4 linked regions of the Tamandua tetradactyla genome follow. The protein of the gene in region 2 purifies or fractionates together with the protein of the main gene of each other region. This does not show direct contact. Links are inferred from orthologs where the notes say so. Each region holds a gene or a part of one and is shown on either strand. Other genes may lie near its edges. The genes, in order: PER1, CSNK1D, AKAP9 and FAM83D.

Region 1 (6,892 bases), about 13 Mb from region 2:
CAGGCTGGCTGGCAGTCCTCTCCCCAGCTCCACCCTGGGCCCCATGGCCTACAAAGATGGGCTGGGCATTCTTTTGCCAGTAAGGAAACTGAGAACCAAGACACCCTTCCTTTGCCTCCTCCTAGCCCAGGCTCATAGCTAATTCTGCGGGGGCCCAAGTCCTCATCCTTAGCATACCTTCTTCTCTTCCAAAATTGTAATGGGCTGGGTTGTACCTCCAAGACTCCTTTCCTGCCTCACCCCCTGCCTAGGCCCAGGAAGTGCCTACACCCCAAGCCCAGCAGGTCAGACCCCTCATGTGCCTACCTTCATAACCCGAGTGGATGCGCTCTGCAATGAGCAGGCAGCACGGCTGTGCAGGGGCCCCATCTGAGACCCGGATCTTGGTTACATATGGGGTAAGGCGAAATGGCTGGTACCGAGGCCCAGGATCTCGGTCAGGACCTCCTCTGGCAAGGGAGGGAGGAGGGATCAGGAATCTTTAAGGGAGGGTTGCCCATCCCTTCATGCTCAGGGTTGTAGCCCACACAAAACAGTAAAGAAATTAAGAGATGAGAGGTACTGACTCCAGTCCCCCACAACCCCCCACCTACCTGATACGGCAGAAAACAGACTTCTCCTGGGTGAAGTCCTTGGGGCTTGAACCTGAGGCAGACCAGGAAGGTAGTAAGCTCAGCCCTGTGGCCTCTGCAGCAAGGGGAAGCCTTGTCTTTCCGATTCCTTCCAATAGAAGCTTCCTGGGCCTGCTCATACCTGACACCTACCCCTCAGCCCTCAGGCACCTCACCTGCTGAGGCCCCAGTGCCCCAGGTGGGCAGGCGAGATGGGGCAGTGGAACCATAGAAGACACCCACGTCCTGGGGAGCCAGGAGCTCTGAGAAACGGGCATCCCGGAACACATCCCGCTTGCAGCGCAGCAGAACACCTGCCTGCTCTGAGATGTAGACAATGCGGCCTGTCAAGAAGGAGACGGCCACCGAGAAGGTATCCTAGACAAGGAGGGCAGGGAGAGATCAAGAACAGACTCAGGAGCTGTGTGGGTGGTGGCAGGTGTGTCTGAATGGACAGGCTGAACCACTGCAGACCTGGTTGCGAAGCGTGTACTCAGATGTGATGTGTTCCAGCTCCTCCAGTGTGTAAGTGGACATGTCCATGGCACATGGCTCGCCCTCCTCCAGGCTCCACTGCTGGTAGTATTCCTGGTTGGCTGCAGGGTGAGGGCCATGGGGCCTGCATTGAGGAGACATCCCAGCCAGGCCAGCCTAGCATCTGACCACTATCCTCCCAGGAAGCACCACTCACCCTGCACCTGCTTGACACAAGCCAGCGCGTACTGGAGTGTGGCCAGGGTCCCAGAACGGCCCTTGCCCCGGCGCTCTGGTGGCAGTCGAAGCTTGAGCTCCCGCAGGGCCGTCATGAGCTCTTTCTGGGTCCTTGCCCGGGCTGACTGTTCACTGCTGTAAGGCCCACAGGGAGGAAGGAGATACATGCATGAGTTCTGTAGCCTGGCCTTACCCTCAGCCCTCTCCCCTGGCTCTCGTCCCACACACCTGCAGCCACTGGTTGATGGGTTGTCCTGCTCTGAGCTGGCACTCAGGAGGCTGTAGGCAATGGAGCTGCTGGGTGGGGACGGGCTCTGGGAGTTGGTGCTAGGGAGAAACAAGAAGCCCAAGATGAGGGGAGAGTGGCATAGGGTTCATTCCTGAGCTCTACCTGCTCATAAGACTACACCCAGCCCCTCGACCCCATATTCATACACACCTTTTGCTGCTCTCAGTGGTCTCTAGCAGGGCAGAGTCCTTGCCATTACCAGAAGAGGAGCTGTGTGAACTCCGCTGAGAGGCACCCCTGGACTCGGGCCCATTGGACTCATTGCCGCTTGAGCCATTGCTGTTGGCATCGGTGTCATCTCCCAGGCTGGGGCCAGGGCAAGGCCGGTGCTGTGGGGGCCCAGGGGATGGGGCCCTCCCACTACAAAAGGGTTCTCCAGGCCTGGGGTCCCCTCCCCCATCAGCCCCTTCCAGGGGGCCACTCATAGCTGGGCCATGGGGAGGGCAGGAGGAGAACAGGGAAGAAGGGGAGGCCACTACGGATGCACCAGGGGGCCTGGAGGCCTGGATGAGGGAGTGGGGTTGGAGACCTAAGTCTGAGGATTGAGAAGTTCGATCACAGCCAGTACCTGGAGAGGGAAACCAGGAAGGAGAGCTTGGAAAAACTGGGGTACTGACCTCAGAGCACTGGCTGGCTTCACTCAGACCCTCCCCTGCCTGTCCTCAAGCTCTTGGATCCCAGACCTGGGGCTTCCAGTTGGGAGCCTAGGGAAGATTCGTTTCCTGTGGCAGAAAGGAGCCACAGGTGGAAAGGGGCCTCCTTTGGGCCTTCTCTCACATCCCCTGCAAGCCTCGGCCTGAGCAAGTAGAGCCTGTGCAGTCGACCGCCGAAGACCCAAGCCTGGACACTTCCCATGCCCGAGTCCCCATCTAGCCCCCACCCTGCCCACGGGTCCAACTCCGCAGAGCCCGGGTGAGCCTTTGCCTCCTATATTTAGGCCTCCCGGCTAATTTTATCTGGGGGGGGCGGCGCTATCTCCACCGCACATGCGCGGACCCACCACACGCTTCCGCCGCCGCGGTCGCCAGGGAAACCGACGTCAGCAGCTGAGCTCAGCGGTTGCTGGGGGGACCACAGGGAGGCAGGAGGGGTGTCCCCTCCCCCATTTCCCGGCGGAAGCGGGGGAACGACCCACTCCCACACTGGCGGTCGCGGCCCGGGGTCGCCCCTCCCCCCAACACACCCCCAGTCCTCGCACGGCCCAGCAGTCTTAAGAAGAGGGGCGGCCGGCGCAGCGGATTTCAGAGACTGGCCCAGGGCTCCTCGCGGAGAAAACACAACAGCTGCTCCCACCGCCACCGCCTTCTGCGCCAAGCCCCCCAAGCTGGCTCTTGCCTGGGTCCCAGTCATTCTGGTCAAGACGACACAGGCTTTCTCTTTCCCCTCGGCCTCTGCCCACCCCGCCCGCCCCCCAAGACCGAAGCCGGTACCTGCCGTCAAGAGCCCAGAAATCCCCTCCTGAGTCCCCTACTTTTCTGGCCTCCATCTCCCCAACCGAAGCAGACACACTGAGCCCTGAGCAATGGACGCACAACAGCCAGCGGATAGTTTTCCCTCCGCTCCCCGTGCAACCACACCACACAAACACACACCCGCCTCCCCCCCCCCGCCCCCCCCCCCCCGTGCATTTTCTGAGCGCCAGGAGAAAAGGGAAGGCTGTGGCCAACAGCAGGAACTAACGCCGGGAACGGGATGTTCCAATCCGAAGCCGGCTGACATCACGGCCGGCGCGGGGCCAGGGACTGGAGGGGGGAGAGCGGGGAGCGTCGAGAGCCTTGATGGGGTCTGCTGCACCCTGGTGCCGGGGTACAACAGGGGACCCCGAATGACAAGAAAGGAGGAAGGGGACCTGCTCGCAGAGGGTCGGGTGTGAGGCCAGAATGGCTGGGAGCGGGGCGGCAAAGCGGGAAGGAAGGTAGACCGGTCGGACGTGCGGCCGCCCAGTAAAGGGTGGCGAGAGCCACCGCGGTCCCGGGGGACAGATGCGGTGGACAGCGGAAAAGAAAGGGTTACTTGCGTGCCGCGTGAGCGCCCGGAATGAAAGCGGCTCATGGGATTGGAACTGGCGGCGGACCGGCTCCGGGCCGGCGACCTGCCCAGGGAGGCTGCGGAGATGCCTACCTGGCCTCGCGAACGCCGTTCGGCCGCCTGCCCACCGCCGCTCCAGTCGGTGGCGAAGTGGAAGCTGCGCGGGGCCGAAAGGCGGGTTGCATAATGCCAGGCACGGCCCCTCATTGGCTCCCTGCCCGCAGCCACAGGCCCCGCCCCCGATTGGCTGGGGATCCCGTCCCGGCGCCTGATTGGCTCCCGGCCCCCACTGAGGTCAGGGCTGTGTCACACACACGGGCGCACGTGGATCTGGGTGCTGGCGCTGGGCTGAAGGGCCCCAGACACCGCCCAGCCAATGGGCTCAGGACGCCTCGCACAGGGAATAATGGGTGGGAGGCAGTGGAGGTAAGCTGTTCCTCTGTAGGGAAAATGCTTGCCCACAGTAGGCGCTCAAGAAACGTCTACTTCCTAAACTGACCAGCCTTGCAGGACAGGACACCTTGGTCTTGTCAGGGAAGGGGGAAAGAATGCAGACCCCAGAAGGTGGACTAAAACGCTGTTCCCTGAGAGGAGAATGAGAGGCCTTTGCTGCCCCCACCCCCTCCCCTTTCCTGCCTCCACCACCACTCGCGAGCTTCCTAGCCTGGTCTTCAAAATGTGAAGATGCCTTTTTACCCAACCCCTTCCTCTGACACTTAAAATCCTGAGGACAGCTGGGAGGAGGGCACTTGAGGGTCCAAATGCCATGCCTAGAGGGGAAGAAGAGGAAAACAATGGAAGGGCCAGAGCCAATAGTGGCTGTGAAGGAAATAATGGCAGGCTCCTGGGGCTAATCAGAGAACAGGTCTCCGGGACAACCTAGGTGGCCACTAGCACTTCTCTCCTGAGGATGCAACCACCCAGAGTTAGGGCTGCCCCAAAAGTGGGAGTCAGGGAGCCAGAACTACGGGGGGACAGAAGGGGCAGCTGAGAGAAGAGACAAGCTGGGTCCCCACAGAGGGAAAGCCCCTGCCAGGGGCTAAGGATTCTGTTAGGGAAAGAGAAAGTCAAGAGCCAGGGACCTAGCTAGCTAGGACCTCACCTGTCTCATTTCCCCGTTCCCCAGCATCCAGGACAGGACCTGTAGTATGGTGATTAGTAAATGTACTGATTTTGTTAATAAGGAGACAGAGCAGTGGGGGTAAGGAGCAGGAATGCAATGACTGAGCCTCAGCAATGGAGAAACTGGCAGTTATAATTTATTAAGGGGGTGGGGGTGGGATCTTAGAAAGAGAACAAGGCCTGATTTGGGAAACTGCCAGGCCCCTCCATCTAATTTCCAATGCTGTAATGAGTAGTATCTCTCAGGGCTGGCTTCCAAGAAACGTGGGTAGCAAGTGAAGAGGCCACCCAGGCTGCTTTGCTGACATAATCAGCTGTGGGTGCAGTCCCTTCATTGTCACATGGCCTAAGCTTTCCTGAACAATAGTGTTCCCCATGGTGGGGGCGGGGGGATGGTTCACTGGAAAAGCTGGGACACAGGGATGTTATAAAATAACCCAGAAAAACCAAAGGAGGAAAGCACAGAAAACAAAGGATTCAGGGGCCTGAATGCTCAGTTCCTTCTCCTTGAAAGTGTTCCCCCAAGTCACAGACTTCCGCTCCCTCTCAATCGTGGCTGTGTCCCTGGTCTCAGTTTCAAACACATCTTCTCGGTAAACAACCTTTTTCTTCTTCCTCAGGGATGTCGATGCGATCTCCTTTCCCCAACTTCCCCTTAGTCTCCCCTGATCCAGGCAGTTCTTTGCTCTCCGAAGTCCCCTCAATGCCTATCTTTTGCAAAGACAAAGGAGTGCAGCGTTCTAACAGCCCCCACCTGCTTTTCAGGCCCAGGTCGTTCAGCCTTGCGGTCCCCACAGTAACCAGGCCCTGCTGCCGTCAATGGAGGAGAGGGGGCGGGAGAGAGCGGTGACGTCAAAGCGGAGGAAGGGGGCGGGGCGAGGCAGCCGGGGAATGTGGGGCAGGGAGGCTGGAAAGGCAGCGGTTTGGGCGGCGGCCGGCGCACTTGGGAACATCATGTTCTCCTGGCTGGCGTCCCAGGACATGCACCCAGCCCGGGGCGCCTCCCCAGCCCAACGACAGCCGTCCTATCCCAAAGCCAGGAATTCCTGGAGAGAGAATTAGGAAGCAGGGGTGACCCCCCTCCCCAATGCCTGGTCCTCTTCTTGGGTCTCATGTGCACCCTCCCTTCGTCTTGTTCCTACAGCTCTTGGCACTGACTCTCCTCCCGCCGATCCAAGCTATACACATCTGCTGGCCCGGTACCAAAAAGCCAGGGCGGGGAAGTTGGAGGCCCAAGTTCTGGGAGAGAACAGGCACCTTTGCTCCCTCCCAGAGTTTTTCCTCCAGAGCCTGAAACTTTTGTTACTATGACAGCAGAGAAGAAGGGAGGAGGGGTAGAGAGAAGAATGGGCCTGAGATGAAGAAATCAGACAAGGACAGGACAATTGACCCCACTTGGGGTCTGGGTCTGGGAAAGGGATAGAAGGGAGGGAGGAGGGAACATGGGCTGCTCTCTGAGGACCAGAAGGATCAGAGAGAAGTAAGTGGGGAGGGAAGCACCAAAAACTTGGGAATGTAAATCCCTAGTTCTGGCCATGGCATTCACAGAAATCTCTCACCCTGTTGCTGTTGTTTTGTTAGAAGGAGATTAGGGGCCCTAGAACAACTCTGTGAGACAGGCATTGTTATCAGCACTCTGTGGGGAATGATTAAGGCTTAGACTAAGGCTTACTTGCCTAAATTGTATGTCTCATAATATGTTAATCCTCTTAACCCTCCAGGAAGCTGCTAGGTATCTAGCCTCTAAGTTGTCTCTCAGCACTGGGGAACCTGTGCCTCTCAAATATCCAGCAGATTCTAAATTTGGCACCTGAACAGACTTCATCCAGTGGCGCCTTCCCCATGGGTCCAATCTCAAGACATTCAATTTGTACTCCCCACACCCTTCTAATCATCAAATCCGCAGTTTTCACATGTTCACAAAGTCTTCGAAATCACTCTGGCAGCCACCAGCCCCAAATGATTTCCTAGGAACTCCACTTTCCCCTACTACCACCTGACCCCAGGTCACTTTTCCACAGACCTGGTTGTTTGTACAGAGAGATACCACAGCATTTATTGGTACCTCCCCACTTCAGGGGTTCAGGAAGGCATGTGAACAGCCATATCTGCACAAACTCCAACCCTATTC
Region 2 (6,850 bases):
ACCTGGCTTTGCTTGCCCTGCGTCTCGTCTCCTGCGCTCATGTCTGACAGGGGCTCTGTCAGCCCTGGCTGAAGAGAAGTGACCCCGCCTGGACTGCCCACCACGTGTTCACACTCATCCACTGGAGGTTGGAAAGCATGGTTCATGTTAGCAATACCAGCCTTTTTCCCCCTAAACATCTTTCCCATAAGCAGCCGATGATGGCAAGGTGTGGACTCTGAGGGCAGGCCACACAGGTAGCTGGGTCTGGGAAGTCTTTCCCACCAGCTCTGCTAGCAGGCTGAGAGGGAGGGAAGTCCCAGGTCTAATAAGCAGACTGCCTGAAGCCTGGGAGTTGAAGAAATAGTCCCAGATACTGCCCCTTCTGATGGAGCGATTTTCTGTTATAAAGCTTTAGAAGGACTCAGATGACAACCAGCCAAGGCCCTCATGAGTAACTAAGCACAGCAGGCCACTGGGTCTTCACGGGCCCTGAAGCGTTCTGCAAACTGAAGCCCCCCCATCCCATTTCAAACATCAGAAAACATATAAAGTCCCAGGTAAAATCCAAAATCCCAGCAAGCCAATCTCATGAAAACGTGAGCCGTACTTAGAGGAGTCAAGTTTCTGACTAACTTCAAAGGAATGACAGTAGGAAGGATTTTAATCATTAATCACACCAGGATATGTAGGACCAGATTTTCAAGAACAGGACCCAGTTCACTGCCTACACTAATGGAAGGAGCTGTAGTTCGGCAACTGCATGTAGCCTGTGGACGCCCAAGCCCCGCACACGATGGATGTACTTGGGCCTGCCCTCCCAGCCACATAAGCACTCAAGCTTACAAGACCACCACATTTCCATGGTGGGGAAGTGTGTAGCCTGAGTACTAAGGGTGGACCCAAAGCCAATGCTGACTGGGGGGGAGTCATCATGACCAATCCCACACCAATGATTAGTGTGCCCCGACAATAGGCGGTGTGGGTGCCAAGAGAAGGACCTGAGTGCCAGTCCCCTTCTTGCGGAGCAGGTGGGTCAGCTGCGCACGCAGGACCTGCAATGGGGCCAGGGCGAGGCAAGGCCTCCAGGATGAACGGGACCCCCACTAAGCTCCCCACTTGAAGAGAAGAGCTTCCATCCTGGTGAACGACCTCTTGAAACCAGAATACCACCCGACTGTCAGGACCCAGCTTCCCAAAGCACAAAGCCATTTTCACCAGGTCTCACCTGGCAAAAAGTTTCAACATCTAATGGACTGGCTTTTCAGCAGAGCTCCTAGATCCCGAGGTTAAGACTTTTGCCAAAATTTACTGTTCTATAAATAAGCCAAACAGCTTGCATTTATCTAGCCCTTCGCCTCCCAACGCCTTGCTGAGAACGACCAGACTGACTTCTTGGATATAAATATTTAAATGGTAAAACCCAAATGTCTCTCAGGCCTATTATACTCAGCAGGCCAGAAAGACCAGAGTCAAAGTCATCACTATACCCCTGATGGGTTATCCTGCAGGTCACCCAGGCCCCAAAAGCTGTAAGGAAAGTTCCTTTTAACAGGCCCCCCCCAAGCCCCTTGTCCTCTATTCTCAAGTGAAAAGACGGAGGGAGGGGGAGGAGCCCACACTGAGATAATGTAAAAGGCGTCATGGAAGGTACAGCAGCTCCTGACTCTAACAGGAACACCAGCCAAACAGCAACACCACCACGGGGCTCTTCAACCTCTACACTTACGCAACTATCTCTCTGCAACTTGCTGCGGGCCAGGCTGGACCGTCTCAAGTTCAGCGGGTCTGGAATAACATACACATAACACAATTCTTCCCCAAAAGAGTAGGAAAGGACCGTAAGTTCAAACTTCTCAACTTCAAGATTCAAGCCGATCTTATATCACACCTATGTGTACATGTGAGCATATTTCTCTCGCTCTAAATGTGAAATGACCCAGAATATTCTAAGCCCAAACATCTTCCAAATCTACCCAAAGAGAAAAACTCGGGTAGGCCTTTCCCACAGCCTTATCGGCCTCTATTCTGCCAACATGGTGACCACCCAGCTTTGCCTGCTCTGGTCAAGCACAGAGCTTAGCAGCAGCAGCTGAGGACCTGCACAAACACAGGCCCTGCAGGCGCACACGTCCTACTCAACACCTGCCAGTCTTCTTCAGGGACAGAAAGGCCCTCCTCCTAGGTCTTCCGGCTGGACCAAGGTCACAGTCCAGAAGGAATCCACCCGGCCAGGTGCAGGCACCTGGGGAATGAGGAAGCTGAGCCCAGACCCAGCTCCCCTTGCCCACGGGGCACCCTCCACTTGCACACCGCAGTCCCGTGGTTTTGACAAGGGCCGAGCCTGGCGAGGGGGAGCCACGGGTACCAGGCCCGGACAGGACTGCAGAGCAAAGAGCCCCGGCCTGGGTTTCCTTGTGGGTGACATGACGACCGGACGCCCTCCTAAAAGGCCGCAACGGTCAGAGAAACCGAGCCTGGCCTCCCGGGCCGAGTTTTGGCAGTTTACGCACGGCAGCGGCACATCGTACAATGGGGGCTTCCAGGGGAGCCCATCTCGAGCTCACCGTCCCCCGGGCCCCCACTTCCGGCGGGGCCTGCTCGGACTCCGGGCAGCGGACGGGGCGCGGCCCAGGCTTGCGGGCCGGACCTCCCCTGCAGCCCCCAGCTTCCTCCCAGCTGCCCCCGGCGGGTCCTGTCCCGCAGCTCTGGTTGGGGCTGAGTTGCGGCTCTCGAAGCCGTGTGCAGCCAGCCTCGACACGGGGCGGAGGTCCCGGCGCCCAGACTCCCGCGCCCGCCGCCGTCCTCAGGGGCCGGGGTTGCGGAGTCGGCTAGGGAGGGGGTCGGTCCGGGGCTGGGGGAGGGGCGCGCGGCAGGGGTTGCCCGAGGGAGCGCCGCGGCCTCACCGAGATAGATGTCTCCGAAGGAGCCGCTGCCGATCTTCCGACCCAGCCGGTACCTGTTACCGACTCTGAGCTCCATGGCGGCGGCGGCCCGTCTAGCTCCTGCGCTCCCGGCCGCTTCCTGGGTCTGCGCTCCGGGGAGGCGGCGCCGCTACTGCCGCTACTGCGGGTCCGGCTGCCGGCTCCGCCCCCCTCACAGCCCCGCTTTCACCATCGCTTTCCGGCCGCCCCGCCGCTCCCAGCGCCTCAATACGGGGCGGATGGGACAGTCCGAGCGTCGCCGACCCTGGTCCGACCCCCGCCAGCCCCACTTGCCCTCTCCCCGTCGCGGATGGACTCGGATCTTCCGGGCCTAAATCCCACACCAGCTGCCTAAAGGAGCCGCCGCCATCGCGCTGTGACGTCACTTCCCCTAGCAACCCCCTGCTGGGCGGGGCCGCGCCGCTGGGGGCGGGGCGAGAGCTCCGGGGCGGGGCGGGGCGGGGCGGGGCGCGGCCTCCTCGCGACCCTTAAGGGCCTCACCCCGCCCGTCCCGCCCTCGCCCCCCGGCCGGCCCCAAGCGCTTGCGCGGGGAAAGCCTCCTCGGCCCCCGGTAGATGGGCGTGGGGCGCACACTTGGAAAGGCTCCCTCGGAGCCAGAGAGATGGGCCTTGAGGACCTGCGCCCCGAGGCCCCCCAGATCTGTGCAGGAGAACCACCCGCCACGGCCGGGCGCCTCAGGGGTCACCCAGAGAGAAGGCCGAGGGAGAGGGCCCAGGATTCTGGGGTGGACGTATGGCGGCGAGGCCAGCGCTGGGCTGGCGCTTTGTCACCGTGCAAGGGTGGCAGGTCCAAGCTAAGAGGGCTCTGAAATGGAAAGTGGGCCTGGAGCGATGTCGGCATGTTTCTAATCTGGGTGGGGTCTGAATGTTCGTGCAAAGCAGAATAAGGTTTGTTTGTACCCAAACCCACCGGGCTCTCTGCACAAGGTCACAGCCAGGCCCCTCAGCGCGGGGGGGGGGGGGGGGGGGGCGGCGTCTGCATTGCCAGCTTCTGCACCCCTCCTGGAAATCCTGTGGCATGAGGCAGGCGTCGTTCCCCAGGGTTAAGTGGCCCAGCCAAGCGCACAAGGGTCCAGCTGAGGCCGGGTGCTCGCAGCCAGCCTCATGGGGAATCCAGGGACAAGGCTGCCAAACCAGTAAAGAGAACTTTGCTGGGAGAATTCAGGCCTGGCTTGTCTGTTGGATGAACAGTGTGCAGCTCCTCCAGGGAAGGCCACCTGCTCAGCCGGCACCATAAGGTGGCCTGGGGTCCACTCTCTGCAAGTAGCCAGGCCTCCCAGGGCCTCCGGCCACATTCAGCTCCAGGGCTCTGCGGTGTTCCACTTTGTTCTCCTAACTGATCAGGAAACTCAACCTATGTGGGGGTTGCCTTGACAAGGGAGCGTGGGAGAGACCTGGGAGGGGCAGCTGCCCACCAGGGCCTGGTCCAGGGGCCTCGGCTCCGTGTCCCCACACGCAAGACCCACCGGGGCCCTGCTGTCCTGTGAGGAAACACCCTTCCAGCCCCAGGACTCGCAGGGCTTTGCTGGAGACAGCTGCTCCCCAGCATCTCACCCCGGCATGGGAGGTCTGCTTGGAGGCCTTGAGCAGGGGCTTCTCTCTGGAACCCAAGCTCACTCTATGCCCACACCCTCTCCTTGTTCTATTTGTTGACGCTGCTGGAAAACAGGAGCAGGCTCTGGAGCTCGGTTGGTCAGCCCACTCTGCTATTGCCCTGTGTGACCCAGCAAGCCAGCCCCGATCACCCACTGCAGAAGCACTGTGTTAGCAGTGCTGGGCCTGGCCCTGCCAACTTCTCAGGCACGGAGGCCCAAGGGACGCCCACACCGGGCAGCACAGTAGGCCTTGAGGAGGACGGACACCCAGCTCCAAACTACAAGGGCAGACCTTGCCCTGACAACCGGGGTGGCCTTCCAGTGTCTCAGCCCCAGCACGGCTTACCTGCCCCTCCTGCCCTGGGGGCCATTTCTGGCCTGTGACTTTCCTCCCAAAACTCCCTCCCAGGCCCCCCAGGGCCACCTCAGGCCAGGCCAGGCCCCTTGCACCCTGCCCAGGGTGTCCTCGTTAAATTTTTAATTGTGGTGACATATGTAACGTGAATATTGCCATTTAAGTATTCGATTTAGTGACATCAATTGCATTTACAGTGTTGTACAACAATAACCCCCATCCATTACCAGAACGTTTCCATTGCCCCAAGTGAAACTGCACCCGTTAAACATTAACCTCCAAGTCCCCTCCCTGCTCCTGGTAACCTCTAATCTGTTCCCCGTGGGTTTGCTCTTTCTAGATAGTTCACATAAGTGCAATTTACAGTACCTGTCCTTTCCTCTCTAGGTTGTTTCATGTTTGCAAGGCTCATCCTTGCTGTCGAGTGGGTCCCTTCTCCCGCTGAGTGGTATTGTGTGCACGGGCCGCATTTTCTATCCCTCCTTTACCTATGGGCACTCGAGCGGTTTCCACCATCGGCAGTTGTGAACAACCGTGAGTAAGACTGCAGCTGTGGAACGTGTATCTGTTTGGGTGTCTGGTCTCCAGTGTTCGGGGCCTTTGAGGCCCACCCCCTGCCCGGTCCTGGAGGGGCAGGGGCGCCCGACCGAGGGACGATGCAGCTAGTGGGCGCACGTCCCAGACGACAGCTCTGAACCCAGCTCCCGACACCCTCCCCGGCTCCCTCTTGGGACCCCCAACACGGTGGCCCTTGAGCCGCACTCCTGCCCTCGGCCCCCCCTCGCCTGCCCCCTCTCTTGGACTGTGGCACTCAGGTCCCTCCTGGGCCCGGTGGCCACACCACCTTCTCCCCAATCCGGGGGCAGCTGCCCCAGCAGACAATGGAGCTCTCCAGTCCTCCTTCCTGACACAGCCAGGTCCGGGAGCACCATGGGCGCTGGAGGGGTTGGGGGGCACAGCCCCTGAGTTGCTCCTGGCGTGCAGCCCAGGTAACAGGAGCTGGCGGCCTGGGTGGGAGGCCGGAGCGGGAGGGAAGGCCCGTGGGATGGGTGTCCCCGCAGCCTGGGGGCTGGCCTTGTCCCCATGGGTGATGAGGACGGGGTGTGTCTCTGCCTTTTGAGCGGAGCTGCCAGACCCCACCTCCATGGGTGCCCCGAGATGCGGCTGGGTCGAATTCTGGGGTCTCCTCAGTGCTCCAGCAGGAGGGTGGGCAGCTGTCCCCCCCAAGCCCCTTCTCTCCCCTCCCCAGCTCCCTCTTCCCTGCCCCCTGGAGACACCGGGGAGACCATTTGTTGTCAAAGCCCACCCTCGTTCTCCAGGCTTAGGGCTGGGCCCTCAGGGGGAGTGCGACGGGGAGGGCTGTGTGAGGCCGGACAAGCAGACCATGCTTCATATGGGCAGCTGCCAACTGGAGCCGGCTGTGGGGTGGGGCGTGCACGGGGCAGTGACCCTCCCCGAGATCTGTGCAAGGGGATGGGGAGCCAGTCTGGAGGCCTGGGGTGGGACCTGAAAGATCTCCAGGCTGAAAGGCAGTGTGTGTGTGTGCACATCCGTGTGCATGCATATGTGCATGTGTATGTGCATACACACAAGTGTGTGCATGTGCGTTTGTGCATGCGGCAGGGCCTTGCTAGCACCCAGCTGCTGACCAGGGAGAACTGAGAGAAGGCTGGGTTGCAGGCTGGGGTTGCGATGGCTGGGGTTGCTGGGGGGCTGGGTTGCAGGGGGCGGGGGTTGCGGGGACTGGGATTGCAGGGGGTGGGGCATTATGGGAGGCCGGGGTTCAGCAGAGGCCACATGGGAGCCACAGCCTGCAGGCCCTGGCCGTGCACCCCCTACACTCCCTCTGAGTAGCTGGGCAGAGGTGTGTGCCCTGAACCCACACTAGGAGGGCAGTGGAAGTGAGTCTGCACCCCCATCCTCCACCCTCTAGAGCCCTGCAGCCCAGCACGGTGGCCGCCAGCCACATGTGGCTAT
Region 3 (7,566 bases), on a different chromosome or scaffold from region 2:
TTCCATCAAATTCAGTTATCTGCACTCTCTAGTTACAGCAAATCTAAAACAACAAATTAGGGGAAAAGACAGATGAGGAGAAGCAACACAAGGTGAGCATGTCCATAGTAATGAGAAACGAAAGCAAAGGAGGGATGAGAACTACAAAAACAGAAAGATCTATAAATATCTAATAATATAGAAATCTAATTTTATATAATACAAGCAGCACAGGGATAAGAATTACAGTTACAAGACTACACTAAAGTGAGAACCATTAGGAAACTGACTTCTATTAAGAGAACTCTGGAATATTGTCATTAAATCACAACCATGCTAGGAAACCATTTATGACTCAGTCATTCTGTTCATTCATTCATTAAGCAAATATTTATCAAGTACCTACTATCTGATAGGCATTATCTAGGCTGCATTATTAGTATGATGTTAACAGTTATCTTTGTAAAATATTCTTAAAGATGAAGTAGCAGCATTTAACATATTTTAACAAATGTAAAAAGATCACCCAAAATCCTACTACCTCCTCTCTTCTATTCTTTATTCAGTTGTATGTCTCTCCCAATAAACTAAGAGCAGGGCCTACATAAACACCTCCAGGTTTCAGCTCTTGGTATACATAGAAGTTCAACACAGATTTGCTGAAAAACTATAACACAGAGTTATTTCAGTCCTAATTTACAAGTTTACATGTTTACACAACTGAAATAAGAATATATACACTATTTCTAATGGTGCTGTTTTCACTCTATTTCCCATATTCCTATCATTGTTCAAAATTTTAATGGCTGTATAATATGCCATCCCATTTAAATAATTTAGACAATGATTCTTCTAATGTCGTCTTTGAAGGTTGTTTCTAGTGTTTTTATATTACACAGCTAATTCTGCAGCAGATATATCTTGCTTTATATGCCGCACACTTTCATTTCTCAATGGAAATACTGGGCTCAACTCCAGAGGATAATCTACAATAAAAGTTAAAGTTAAAAGAAAAAGATTTTTTACCCTAATCGGTAGAATTTTAAAACACCAAAAAAACCACATTCACACAAAGAAATAGAATTCTATTTTGCCAAATCAAATGATGTGGCAAGCAATTTAAATAAATCCCCTAATTATTATGGGTTATTATGTCCAAAGTGAATTTATGCCGAAGTAAACTGTATTTTGTAGGACTGTTTCACATACAGTTAGAAAAGATACTTCTGGAGCAGACAGTAAAAATTCTGAGGTAATAGACAAGATATAAACTGTCTACTTAGAGACTTTTGGAAGAGGGTGCACACTTTACCTCCACTTCCTTGGCTGCATAGAGCTTGCTCAGACCCTCGGGGCTGCACAAAATGTAAGCAACTGACTTTGGGCTTCTTAAAATAGCCTCATTTTCCTTTCCCCCATTTATGGACTTTAAAGCAATAATTTACCTGGGTACATACAAGCACCTAAGCCTTGACTTCTGAAGTGGAATTTTATGGAATATGAAACTAGTGTACATATATATTCATTTAACAATCTTGGGCTAACCATCTACTGCTGCATCTCTGCAATACGGCCCTTTGTTGATTACCAAATTATTGACCCAGTTTCCTTTGTCTATTTATATGGGAGGAGAGCAGGGAGGAAGGAAAAACAGCTATAATTTAATTATGAATCAAGTATGATTGCTAACAATTACCTCTGATATGATAATTGGAATCTAACCTATAAAAGGTAACTTCATTGTAGAACGTCTTTAAGGCCAAGAGATAATCTCAAACGTTAACATTTTAAAAGAAACATGCTACTTAATTTATATGTTGTCTATGCCAATTTTTCGTCAAATTCTCAATTGAGAGATACCTGTGTATAACTGTGTATTGTGTACTTTACAGGCTTTTTCATACATATACACACATAAAATCAGGAGTCACCCGATACACACACACACATATATATTCATACACAATCAACCATTAGGTAGTATTTGAAGCAGGGATTCTATAGGTGTTGCTTAAAATACGGAACCTGTCGTTCCCAGAACTCCAATCACGGAATGCATTAACATTCCACACAATACAAAAGCGCATGCCATGACAAAGACCTCCAAACACAAACATACAAAGCACGCTTAAAAAACGCCTCTAAAGGAACTTCACAGCTGGCACGTGTGGCACACTCAAGTCACTGCTGTGGCAGCTGACAGAGGCCAATCACACACACCCAAGAGTGCCAGCGTGCCACCTAAGGAAGTCAAGCTGATGATCAGCGCACAAATCCCCCATCAAATAAAGAAAAGCTCCAAATCCCCACCCTGGAAAACAATGCCTGCGCCACCCAGAAAACTCCTTTAAAAAAAAGTGAAAGACTGGAGATCAAGGACTAATAAATATCAGCTTATAGCAGCACTACAGTAATAGAAGGGTTTCATTTGGGCAATAAAAAGAAAAGGGCCATACGATCCAGTCATCGCGGAAGTTTCATTTGCTAGAAGCTTTTCTCACTATTGGAAAGACGGTGGCGAGGGGGAAATAAAGACGTCTGTAAGAACCTCCCTTCAAGGTAGCGCACTAGAGCTACCACGATCTCCGTTTCCGTGGCCCCCTCCCACCCTCCCCAGCCGCCGCCTCCCACAGCCGGCCAGGCTGCCTCCGGCTTTCCTACCTTAGCTTTGCCGGCCTCCAGCTTCTTCTGTCTCTCTTCGTCCTCCATGGCCTCTGCAGGGCAGGGTGGGGGAAGACAGGGAGGGGATTGGAGGTAGAAAGAAAAGGTCGGTTCAGACGTAGTGGGACGGCAAGCTCCAGGGCCCAGAGAGCAGGGCCGAGCCCGGCTTCCAGCGCCCGCAGTCGAACCAGCTGCCTCGCTCACTGGCTGGTCGTCCTCGGCCGCACAGGGAACGCCGCCACCGCCGCCATCTTCGTCTCCACGTAAACACAAGGCCGAACGCGGGTTGGCTGGGGGGAGGGGCAGGGGAGCGGGATGCGGACGTCTGTTCGCGCAGCCGCCGCGAGTCCCGCTGGGCTCGGCAGGTGCGCCCGCAGCCCCTCCCCACCGCGCGCGGGACCTCGGGAGCGACCCTTGTCCACGCAGTTCTCAGCTTTCGAGTCTAAGAACCAAGGGAGTGGGTGCTCCTCTAGCCTTGGCCGGTTCTTGTCCTTCCTCCGGGATGCGCAGCTTCCAGGTGGGGGCGGACTAGGGGTCGGGTAGGAAGGGCGATAGGGCAGGGGGCATCCGGTCGGACCCCCACTCACTGTTCTAGGAATTCTGTGGTCGCTTTTAAAACATTTTTTTTAATTACAAAAATAAAGATGTCTAATGGTGAGATTAGAGAGCACTGAAAAGCCCAAAAGGAAAAAGTGGGGGGTCAGGGGGAGTCAGTTTCTCAACCTGCACTGACTCTATTCCAGGAGTTAGGAGAGCAGCTGCTTGTTCTCATTACTTCCTTATCCTGAAAGCCCCTCCTTCCCCATACTGTTACCCGCCCAAGCCCCTATTCGTCCTTCAAGGCCCACCTGAGGTGTCGCCTCCAAGTAGCTTTATTGATGTCTATTATTCCCTCCACCTCAATGGAGATGTTTCCAGTCATGGCTTATTCCTCTATGTCCCCTAACTCTATTCCCTCCCTCCTTGGAGCTTCCCCTTAGCGATGGTGTTCAGAAAAGGGCATAAGCTTCAGACCCAGGGGTGGAGACAAAGCCATTATGCACTTTCTAGTTTTAATGATCTTGCAACAAGGTACCAATCCTCCCAGAGCTCCAGTTTGTTCACCTAGAATTTTTGGAAATGTTGTTAGGATTAAACGAATTAATATATGTGACTGTCCCTGGCACATTAAAACTAACACAACTGGGAAATCATCGACCTACCCAGGCGATTAAATCCATCTCGACTCCTGTTGGAGACCAGGCGAAACCATAGCAGAGAAGACTCAAAAAATTATGAAAATCATTCCTGGGGCAGCCGTGTGTGTAGAAAGTGAAATCAGGGAAGATGTAACTATAGGACCTAGGACGGTGATCCACCCTAAAGCACGAATTTTTGCAGAGCCAGGCCAATAGTAATTGGTGAAGGGAACATAATAGAAGGACAGGCCCTTATTATAAATGCTCACCCTTATAATATCACCCCTCTTGCTGGAGATTTCAGAATCCAATCCTCTGGCCATTGGTACAATAATGTGTTTGAAGTTGGCTGTTATTCCCAAGTCATGAAAATGAGAGATAATAATGCTGAGTCAAAAGCATATGTAGGCAGAAGTGTAGTATAAATGAGTGCATCATTGGGGCTTGTTGCAAACAATACTCTTGAAGTCATCCTTGAGAATACAGTAATCTGTGGTGCAGACTGCTTTCCTGTGGTGTAGACTGAGCTACCGCAGCCCCAGACGCTACAGCTGGATTTCCTGATTAAAATCTTGTCAAGGTACCATCACATAAAGAAGACCATGAAAGGAAGTTCAACTAACAACAACATATGATATCAAAATAACATTTCATCTTTGACTACAGTCTTTTGCAAGGGCCACAGTATTTAAAATGCAGTCTTATCAACTCACAGAATAATATATATTGACTTTATTTTATAAAATTGAGTTAAGTAATGGGTTTTCATTGTCAATGACCTCTATAATTTATGTAAAATGTGTGATTCTCCTATATTGTTGCTACTTTTCTGATAATTTACAGTTTTTCTTTATTATATAAAATATTGGCTACAATTTTTAGTTATATAAAAGACCACCCATGATAAGAAAGAGCATATTGTTATATATTTGTTACATATACTAAACTAAATAAAAGTGCCAATGACAGGAAAAAAATAAAAATAAAATGAACACAAATAATGTCAATTTTCTTTCTCCTTGTATTTTCTTTATGTATTCTAATTATATTTTAATAATTTATGTACTTCTTAGTAAAGCTCATACTTTATCTTTGCATTACCAAAATGACAGTACTTTGCACCCATTAAATACTTGTTGAATTGAATTGCGCCATGTTTGTGAATTGAGCTTTACATTCTTTCCTTTCCCCTCCCTCATCTGTTCCCTCAGTACTTTCTTTTTTCTTCCCAGTCTCCTACCTTCAAATTCATTCCAGGGTGAACTATAAATTTTAAGGTCTCAGACTGATTACTTAGGTTAAGCATATTTCTTCTTTGTTATGAGCTATATTGGACTGAAAAACTAGCAGGTATGAACTAAAACAGGCCATGAATTCAATTGTAGAATTGGTTTTAAGTGAAAATTAAGGGTGAAAGAAAAGAAGAAGGGAGAGACTAAATAAAGACCTTAGGTCTGTCACATACTGAATACATAGATCTGATTTAGAAACGCTTAGATATTTTTAAAATATATTTGATCATTTTAGTTGCCATTCTCTAGATCTATGCCAAATCCTATATAACCCCAACCCATTCATTAAATATTTGAGCTGTGTATCACTGTAACACAATTATCTTGTTTCCTACATGTGAAGAGGATAGACTATGGAGGATCAGTTTGGTTGCTACTGCATTATCCCAGATAAGAGATGATAAGAGATTTAGACCCTAGTAGTGGTAGTGGAGGTGATCAGATGTGATCAGATTCTGGATATCTTTTGAATATAGAACTAATTGTGTCACGGGAGTTTTATATTGAATGTGATGTTTATGACAGGGAGGAGTCAAAGTTGACTCCAACATTTTTGGCCTCAGCAACTGAAGTGATGCCAGTAACAAATGGGGAAGAGCATATTTGGAGGAGAGCAAGAGTTTGGAGATTGTAAGTTGGAGATATATGTTAGGTATTTAAAAAGTGATGTATAAGTTGATACTTAGAAATCTGAGTCAGGAATATAGGAAAAAGGTCCAAGTTATAATTTGAGAAGAGTCAGAACATCGATATTATTTTAAGGTAAGAGATTGGATGAGATCATCTAGGGCCACACTAACCAATATAGCAGCCACTATCTACATGTTACTACTAAGCAAGAAGATATGACTAGACCGAATGGAGATATACTGTAAATTTAATACACACTGGATTTCAAAGACTTAGCATTTAAAAACAGAACTTAAAATATATCATTAATATTTTTATATTCATTACATGTTGCAATGATAATACTTTGGGTTAAGTAAATACATACTAATTTCACCAGTTTATTTTTATTTTTTTAATGTGGCTGCTAGAAAATTTTAAATTGCGTATGTGGCACAGTCATACTCTAGGAAGCAAGTTTAGATAAAGGAGTGATACAATGACTGAGTTTTGGAGCACTCCAACTCTGAGGGAGGGAAGGAAAGAGAAATCAGCAAAAAAGACGGAGGAATGACAGGAGACTTCCGGGTCAAGATGGCAGCTTAACAATGTGCACATTTTAGTTCGTCCTCCAGAACAACTACTAAATAACCAGAAACAGTACAGAACAGCTCCTGGGGCCACGTCAGTGACCAGACACACAGCATACCCCAGTCTGGACCAGCTGGACTGGCTGCGAGCACCCCCCAGAACCATGAGTTCCCAAAGCTGTGGTGGCCAGCACCCCTCCCCCACAGGCCACTTCCCAGAGGGAAAAGGAAAGGACTTTACCAGCAGCAGGGACTGGGCACAATCAAACGCCAATTGTGGAACTAATTAACAAATTCTGACTACTAAAAATAGGCCCCCAGCTTAGGTGAGCCTGATCAAAGCAGAGGTTGCTCATTTTTGCCCCGGTGCCAAGGGGGCAGGACTGACAGAAAAAGGGGGTGAAAAAAGAAGAAGGAAAAAGAGCTTTTTGTGGCTGTGTATCTACAAAGGCTTGACTGCCTCTGGATACAGCGGCAGGACTTTTCAGGCTGCAACTGGCCCAGGCATAGGCAGAAGTGAGCTCTTTTGGGGACTTGTCTGGAGTCTTTGCCTTCCCCAGGGGAGCGGTGAAGCCCCACTCAGTTGGAATCCCTCCATCAAGGAATTCAGACACCTGGGCTTGGTAATTTGAAGCCATTAAAACCAGCCTACAACCTCTCCTCTGTCTCCACCCTGCCCCCAGCAGGGAGAGTCTGCCAAAGTTAAAGGTACCACATCATCTTATGCTGGTGGGACCTGCAGTCAGACAAGCGCCACACACAGGGGGGATAAGAAAAACCGAGTCCAGAGACTTCACAGAAAAGTCTTTCAACCTGCTGGTTCTCACCCTCAGGGAAAACCGACACAAGTGATTCTTTCCTCCTGATAGTAGGCCAGTTTGGTCTGGGAAAATCCGGCTGGAGTATATAATATCTAAGTAGACCCTCCTAAGTGCGTGTGTGTGGGAAGGCACCTCACAAGCAGGGCGAGAAACAAGAAAACAAGAACTGAAAAATTCTCCTCTGTGAAACAAAACTTAAGCTAAAGGCCCAAATAAAGTTGAAGGGAATGTCAAAGAACAGATAGACAACAAATTCATCCAGCAAGAAAACCCTAGATAAAAGAAGTGAAAGCAATCTCCAGAATAAACTAATTAAGGTAATTAAATGTCTAGACGCCAGCAAAAAAAAACAAATCACACTAGGAAAATTGAAGATATGGCCCAATCAAAGGAACAAACCAACAATTCAAATGACATACAGGAGCTGAAACAATTA
Region 4 (7,397 bases), on a different chromosome or scaffold from region 2:
GTCTCATCGTGCTCCTTTCCTCCCTCTGAACCTGCAGTAGCTCAATCACGGAGAGAATCGGGTCCAAACTTCCATGCAAGGCCCTGACAACCGAGCTCCCGTCTTCCCCTCAGCCTCCTGCTACCACTTTCTGCTCCCGCTGTGGGGAACGTGGCTGGCCCCAAACGTGCCAGGCCCTCCATGCTGTGCACTGGTCTCCGTTCTGGACCCAGCTCCAAGGTGACCACCGCTGCTGAGGCTTTCTTCCTTCAGCCCCCTCCCTCTAGAGATCCTGCAGCCACCTCCCTCATGGCTTCCCACAGGCAGGCAGGTTCTCAAGTGCAGGCAAGGACCCTGCCCCAGGCCCTGGCACGGTGCCTGATGTGGAGGAGGCGGTGAATGAGCAAGTAATTTTGGCAGATGGCACATGCACTGAAAATACTCATTGGATTTCAAGGTAATTGTGGTAGACTGAATGATGAACCCCAACAAACACATGTTCTTAACCTCAATCCTTATCCCTTTGGGTGTGAACCCATTTAAGCAGGACCTTTAGAAGATGTTTTAGTTAAGGTGTGGCCAACTGAACAAGGGTGGGTCTTAATCCAGATCACTGGACGCTTTACAACAGAACCCAGAAGTCACAGAAGCTAGAAAGGAGAGGATGTTGCCATGTGACAGGAGGCAAAGACGAAAGCCAGAGAAACCCAAAGATTGCTGGCAGCCAGCACCAGAATGCCAGAGATTTGGGGCAGAAAGCAAGTATTACTAATATCTTGACTTGGGATTTGTAGCCTCAAAACCATGAGCCAATAAATTCCTGTTGTTTAAGCCAAAACTACCTCGTGGTATTTGTGACATAGCTCTGGCAAACTAAGACAGTAACTTACCACCTTTCTCAGCTAAAATTACCCAGGTTCCAAATGCAGACTGTCGGAGAGTTGAGTACACAACTGGACTAGGGCCACCGGACAGAGGGGCAAGTCATGGGGCAGGTTTTTACCCAGGAATGGAAAGGTCGCAGTGTGTATTACAGAATGCCCACAGCATGAGGGAGGATCTGAGCTCCAGCCTCAATCCCCTTCTAAGGCCAGCACACGAAGTTCCAGAATGGTTCTCCCAGGAGCCTCTAGCTCCAGGGCCCCTTCACTACCAACAAAACAGGGGGCTGGGCCAGAGGTTAGAGTAACCCACCTCTCTCTCTGCCCTGAAGACCCATTCAACACTCTTCTCAAATTTCAAGTGCTCAAGTTCCCCAATTAAAGGTAAGCTTTGGGAATGCACATGTACGCCACAATTCTGCCTTTTTCCATCTTTTTAATGAGCCAGTAAGTAAGGTGTCTATTGCATCAAAAGGGCCTTCAGCACACTCAACAAACCACAAGGCTGGCACTAGCTCACTCCATCCACTACAACTTCTGACTCCACCAACAGGTAACGAACCCTGGTGCAAGTCGGGGCTGGTTCCATAAGACAAGCTGCACAGATGGTTTAACCTGGTGAGCACACTCAGATCCCAGCCCTACCAAGGCTTGCCACGGCCTTGGCACAGGCAGACATCTAGCCAGGGAGCTGCGCAGACCAGTCAGCAAGCAATGTAGCAGCTGACCATGGCCTTGGACTGAGGAGGGGGCCTGCTGTCACCCCCACCTACCCCACTCATCTCATGCACTCCGGTCTTCCTCCCAGATTCCCAGGTGCCCAGCACCCTGCTGCAGCCTCATCCTAGCTGGCAGATAAGTATGATACCTCCCCCCTCAACACACCCCAATACCATACCAAGCTGAGTGATACAACAGGACCAGTCCCCACTGAATAGTGAGGCCCACCCAAAGCAGGGTGTCTACACTCTTCAGACTGGGGCAGCCACACCCCATCCATCCCCCCGAGGTCTGTAGCAGGTGGGAAAAGAACAGGGCTCTCCGCCTTGCCACTTTCCTATTTGTTTGCTTTCTACGATATAAGGCAAGCAGATTCGACTAGCAATTGATTCCTAATGCCTCACCATTGTTTCTGGGGACAGTTACCCTTCCAGAACCTTTCCCTAGGTAATGAACTCCTGTAGGTGGGATCAACCCTGAAAGTTGGCTGACAACCAGAAAAATCGGCGGGCTGACTGGAACTGAAATCTGGAGCTGTGAGCATTTCTGGCCCCTCCTCCAGGCCAGATGGTGCTGGCAGTTGGTGCCTGAGGAGAGGAACACCGGTTGGGGAAGGCGAGGGCGGTGCCGCCGCCAGGCCCAATTCGCATCCCTGGGGAACGAGGCGCCTCCCTTTCCCCGCTGCCACACGGAGCGGCCCGGGAATCTGGGATCCGGGGGGATCACACGCAAGTGGGGAAATCGAGGACTACGGGATCACCCGACCCACGATTAGGGTAGGGTGCAGAGGACGTCGTGGGGCTCGGCCAGCACTCCCAACACATCTCCCTTTCCCATTACTGGGGAAGGTCTCCAGTCCGTCCCGGGGCCCAGAAGGACCCGAGGGGCCTGGCCGGACCAGGCCGCTCACCTCTCGCGCCGAGCGGAGCTGCTGTCGTAGGGCGTCCTTGCAGCCATAGGGGCCGCCGGCGCCGATGCCGCGGGGCTGAAAGTGCGCCTCGACCCGAGTGGCGCCGCGGTAGGCGCCCTGGTAGAAACTGGGCCAGCCGAGCTCCAGCAGCGGCGGCTCCAGGTCCGACTGCTCCGGGAAGTACGTGCCGGACGAACAGTCGTGCGACGAGCCGAAGGAGTCCTCGCCCCCCGCCGCCGCGCCCTGCTCTCCTGGCCGCTCGACCGAGCGCAGGATGGCGTGCACCTCGTCCGGGTTCAGAAAGCGGCCCAGGCACTCGCGACGCAGGAAAGCCGCGAAGGCGTCGGGGCCGCCGGCCACCAGCTCCTCCAGCGCCAGGCGCTGCGCCTCGCTGTACAGCTCGGCCGGGTTGGGCGGCCCGCACGGCGACAGGCAGGCGGCGGGCACCTCGTCCAGGATGTCCAGCAGCATCGCCATAGCGGCGCTCCGAGGGGACCACGCTCCACAAGTTGGAGCAGCGCACGTCCGCTTTTATACGCAGCTTTGAATCAAACTGGCCCGCGCCATTGGCGGCGTGGCCCCGCCCTGGCTTTCCCATTGGCTGCGCGGAGTTGGGGCTGGGCATGCGCCGCCACGGCCCCGCCCCTCGAGGTGCGCCCGGTCGGACCCCGCACCTCTGCATTGGCTACGAGTAGCTGCCACCCCTGCGCTTGTGGCCCGGTTGCTACGCGGGATTTAAATTCGGAAATTGTACATCACCGCGGACCCAGCGGCTCCTACTGGCTTCGCGGGTAGCAGCGCGCATCGCGGGGAGCCAGAGAGAAGGAAGGGTGGAGCCGAGGGGGCCTGGGCGGCAACGAGGGGCGCGAAGACTTCCCTGAGGCCCAAGGACTCGGTCCCCGGCCGCCCCAGCGCGCCCCCTGCCGGCCGCCCCGCAGCCCGGGTCTCCCCGCCCGCGCAGTCAGCTGTCGGCGGGGTGTCTGGGCACGCCGAGGCGCTGCTGCTCCTAGGCCCTCAGAGCTTGCGTGTGACCCACCATGTTGCTCTTGTCCCTTCAGTTGATCATTTATTTATTCGTTCAGAAAAAAGATTGGTCTGGCATAGTACCCATTCCTTTGATTACACCCTCACGTACCTTGTTGGCAAAACCCCAAGCCTGGTCGAGCCCCGCGCTGTGCTTACTTGCCACCTGCACCCGGGCAGCCAGACATTGCCGCACGAAACACAACTGCATTGGAAATTCACGATCCCAAGTGGGCCCTGGAGGCTGCCTGCTAGCCTCCGTTTTCCTCTTCGTTAACTTGGTTCCTCTCCTCCTTCGCACAGGAGCTCCTGCTCCCTGTTTTCCCCAGAAAGTACAAACAGAAGAGAACGGCCACACGCCCCGCCACATATACCTCCCTGTCTGCACCTCCGCCCCCATACTCCTCCCTTGTCACCACCGATGAACTGCTCTCGAGCCCAGGGTCAATCCTTATCCTAGGCACTAGCTTCCAGCCTCTCTGCTACTAACCCATCAGTCTTGCGATTCTCTCCTCTCTCGTGGATCACCAGTGTCCCTCCTTTACTGGCTCATTTCTATCAGCATGCAAACATGCTGAACTATTTTTCATCTTTAAACAACCCTCCTTGTTGTTGAGGGTTAAACAACCTACCTTCCTCTAGAGGTATCTCCCCATTTCCCTGCTCACTTTCACAGCATAAAACTTTAAGAGTTGTCTACATTTGCTGTCTTCAATTTCCCCCCAGTTCTTTCTTAAACTCTCTACAGTCAGCCTATACTCTCAATCACCCTAAACCAAAATTTCTTGTGAAGCTCACCAGTGAGCTCCACGTTGCTAAATCCAATAGTCAATTTGCAGGCCTCATCTTCCTTACGTAAATGAGAGAACATAGGGGAAACTGTAAAGTGCTTTCTATGTGAGAGGTTACCATTTATTACTTAGCAGCCAATAAACTTTTTAAATGAATGAATGTCAGCTGCTGCTAAGACACATCTCCTTCTCTCTCCATCCCCAGCCTGTGTATAAGTTTTTAAAACCCCAGAGTGGGCCCTTCTGTGTGGGCTGCTCAGGCTTCCAGCATCCAGAAGGCTACAAGAGGGCACCATTTCCCTCCTCCCCCAAGACACCAGTAACCTTCTGCTCTTGACAGGGGCTGTGGGCTGGGGCTCTGCAACCACATAGCTAGTCTACGCTTCTATTGCCTCAGGCATAAAATAAGAATAACCTGGATCTTGCCTGCTCTACTGTAGCAAGATGAGGTACTATGCAGTAGTTTACTTCTCTGCTATAAGCCGTATGGGAAGGGCAGGGGGGACAGGACAAGTCAGTGCACTCCAAGAAGGAAACAGAGAAGAGGGTCACCCCAGCTCCATCTAAATATGTCATGAGGCAAACATTTGAGAAGTTGGGGTGTCTATAGGAGTTGTTACCTGGCCCCACATTAACTCCAAGGGGAATATTTGACAAAGTGAAGGTCATTCCCAACCATAGACCTTTTCTTGAATTCATCAGGTTCCACCGTCTCCCAGCCTAGCAAGACATCCGCTCCAGGTCTGAGTCCCCGGAGTCCCCTTTCATCTTCTGGAGGAGCCCTTTGTGTTGGGGGACAGGAACTGGGAGCCCTCACCCACCCTCTGTCTCAGGTACCTCCCCTTTGAGTTCAGGTCAACGCAGTCCAAGTGAGCTCACAATGACCACAGTCACATTCGCAGGTGTTATTAAAAGGAATTTAATAATCTTAATTAAAAACTCTTAACAGCGAATTCGTCACAGGCCTTGGCAGCTGGAGGCTGCCCCGGGGACAAGCCCCTCTGGGATGTGGCTGAACCACGGTCTCGGACACGAGGCTCGCCACTGCCGCGCGGCGAGGAGCTACCCCGAAGTTACTTCAATACAATATCAAAGATCCGCGAGGAGTTTTTTAAAAAAGTTTTTAAATATATTAGACTCTCTTGATTGCCATTTTTTACACAAAGCTGCTGATACAGTATACAGAGTTTTATCTTTTTTTTTTTTTCACATAAAATACATTTTTGTTAAGTGTTCTCTGTACATCAGTGGCTTCTGGTCTGGTGAGTTATTGCGGAGGGCTGGGGGTCTGCAGACTTTTCCTGGGTGTGCAGAGCCAGGCCCCCCCGCTATGGCACTTGCAGTGCCCGTGGGAAGCAGGCCCTCTGGCCAGCAAGAGACTCCTGTTGAGGAGGGGGCCACAGCTTCTGGCAAGGAGGGGGGTCACTTCTGTGGAGTCATCCACTGACCACGGGCCCCTTTTTTCTTCTGAGCCCTGGGAGGGGAGAGGCTGCCCTCATGCTAGGAATAGCAGGAGTTAATGCAAGTCCTTCTGGGCATCTTGTAAGGAGCACCCTTTTGGAAAGTACCCAGGGATCCTGCTCTGGGAAAGCAGGTGGGAGAGAGTGCTCAAGATCAAAAGGTAGCCGACACCAGTAACCAAGATGATCTCATGTTATTACAAAGCTAGAAAATGAGGGTGGGGAAGAGGGCACACCCTTGTTTACTTTTCTAAGCCCCTTGAAGTTGATTAAATGGTGCAGAACAGTTCTATGAGTGCTGCACATGTGATGGACAACCCTGAAGTCCTCAGCAGAGCTGGGCCTAGGGTTCAGTTCAGCTTCCTTGAGCTAGTGGCCAGAAACTTACAATCTGCTGTCAGTCACCAATTTTCAATTGTTTGGGGCATAGGGTAGGAGCAGGAGCCAGAGCACACCAGTCGCTCCAGGTGCGCAATGTGGCACCTGGTTCAGAAGCGGCCTCCTTTAATCTGCCAGGATTTGCCACCAGACCTGGGTCAGCAGGAGCTGGGCATCTGGTCAACCCTGCCAGCCTTCTCCCAGTTCCCTGAGCCACACCTGGCAGGGAGAGAGGCTGATCCAAGAGGAAAAGCTCCAATGCTTAAAAGTGAAGCCCGTTTAACTTCCCAGTTTCTGAGGGACTGAGGAGTGACTAAATAAAACTAGCAAGAGACAAAGGCTTTAAGAACCTGAGATGCATTTGGCAGCAAAGTCCAGCTTCCTGATTCATCCAAATGCCGACCTCACACCCTATCAGGCCATTTCCCCAAAGATGCTGGCCATCCCAAGGTGGACATGGGATGGTGTCTTACCTGGAACCCAAGACCTGGCATCTGCGCTTGGTGGCACATGTCATCCATGAGAGGCCATGGTAGCTGTTTCCCAGCTAAAGGGATTCAAATCTGGGGATTCTAGGAGCTGACAAGTTGAGGGATGTTGGACCAGGATGTGATCATCTGCTAAGATGAATTGAATGGGCTGGTCCTAAGGGACAAACACTGTAAAGAACAGTTCTCCTCACTGTCTTGTTCATCCTTTGTCCCCAGAACCTACTGCAATGCCTGGCACCTCACAGCTACTCAATACATTGCATGAATGAATAAATGAGTGATCACAGCCCCAAGGTTGTGCCCCAGCTTGCCCCCCCCCCCCGCCCCCACCCAATACCTAGGAGACCTACAGGGAGAGCTCCCAGGTACCTGAAGCCCTAAAAGAGAATGCTTTATTCCTGACTCAAAGCACAGCCTGGTGATGTATCTGAAGTTGGCTCAAGCCAGTATTTCCAACCAGCCGGTATTTCCAATCTTCCAGGTGGAAGAAGAACAGCCCAGAAGGCAGGAAGCCAGAGGGGAGGAGGAGTGCCAGAGGGCTCATGGTGAGTTACAAATGCCTTTGGTCGCTGGCATCTGACCGAACAGATCTGAAAACCTGCCCAGCTCTCACCTGAAAACATGTGGCTTCCCTAAGCACACCCACCGTGCAGCCCAGTTGGCTCAAGGGGAATTTCAGTGTCAGCTGGGCTGAATACTGCTTTAAAGCCAAAGGTGTGTGTGTCTTGGATCACCTGACACACAGGATCAGCCATAGGCTGGGG

The links.
Region 1: the proteins of CSNK1D (region 2) and PER1 purify together in Homo sapiens (affinity purification with mass spectrometry; 4 studies listed by BioGRID and IntAct, counting the BioPlex papers as one, with this or other methods). This does not show direct contact. The link is inferred for Tamandua tetradactyla from reciprocal best matches to the Homo sapiens genes CSNK1D and PER1.
Region 3: the proteins of CSNK1D (region 2) and AKAP9 purify together in Homo sapiens (affinity purification with mass spectrometry; 4 studies listed by BioGRID and IntAct, counting the BioPlex papers as one, with this or other methods). This does not show direct contact. The link is inferred for Tamandua tetradactyla from reciprocal best matches to the Homo sapiens genes CSNK1D and AKAP9.
Region 4: the proteins of CSNK1D (region 2) and FAM83D purify together in Homo sapiens (affinity purification with mass spectrometry; 4 studies listed by BioGRID and IntAct, counting the BioPlex papers as one, with this or other methods). This does not show direct contact. The link is inferred for Tamandua tetradactyla from reciprocal best matches to the Homo sapiens genes CSNK1D and FAM83D.

What each region holds. Positions count from the first base shown.
Region 1 is NC_135332.1:61,966,585-61,973,476, forward strand, and holds the start of PER1 (period circadian protein homolog 1), read right to left. Parts: upstream 3,010-6,892; 5' UTR 2,467-3,009; coding exon 2,295-2,466; intron 2,180-2,294; coding exon 1,762-2,179; intron 1,650-1,761; coding exon 1,551-1,649; intron 1,458-1,550; coding exon 1,303-1,457; intron 1,208-1,302; coding exon 1,086-1,207; intron 990-1,085; coding exon 788-989; intron 646-787; coding exon 594-645; intron 450-593; coding exon 307-449; intron 1-306. UniProt on the Homo sapiens protein: Transcriptional repressor which forms a core component of the circadian clock.
Region 2 is NC_135332.1:74,589,881-74,596,730, forward strand, and holds the start of CSNK1D (casein kinase I), read right to left. Parts: upstream 3,021-6,850; 5' UTR 2,962-3,020; coding exon 2,886-2,961; intron 1-2,885. UniProt on the Homo sapiens protein: Essential serine/threonine-protein kinase that regulates diverse cellular growth and survival processes including Wnt signaling, DNA repair and circadian rhythms. It can phosphorylate a large number of proteins.
Region 3 is NC_135327.1:124,513,753-124,521,318, forward strand, and holds the start of AKAP9 (A-kinase anchor protein 9), read right to left. Parts: upstream 3,005-7,566; 5' UTR 2,689-3,004; coding exon 2,641-2,688; intron 1-2,640. UniProt on the Homo sapiens protein: Scaffolding protein that assembles several protein kinases and phosphatases on the centrosome and Golgi apparatus. Required to maintain the integrity of the Golgi apparatus. Required for microtubule nucleation at the cis-side of the Golgi apparatus.
Region 4 is NC_135327.1:13,074,426-13,081,822, forward strand, and holds the start of FAM83D (protein FAM83D), read right to left. Parts: upstream 3,021-7,397; 5' UTR 2,968-3,020; coding exon 2,491-2,967; intron 1-2,490.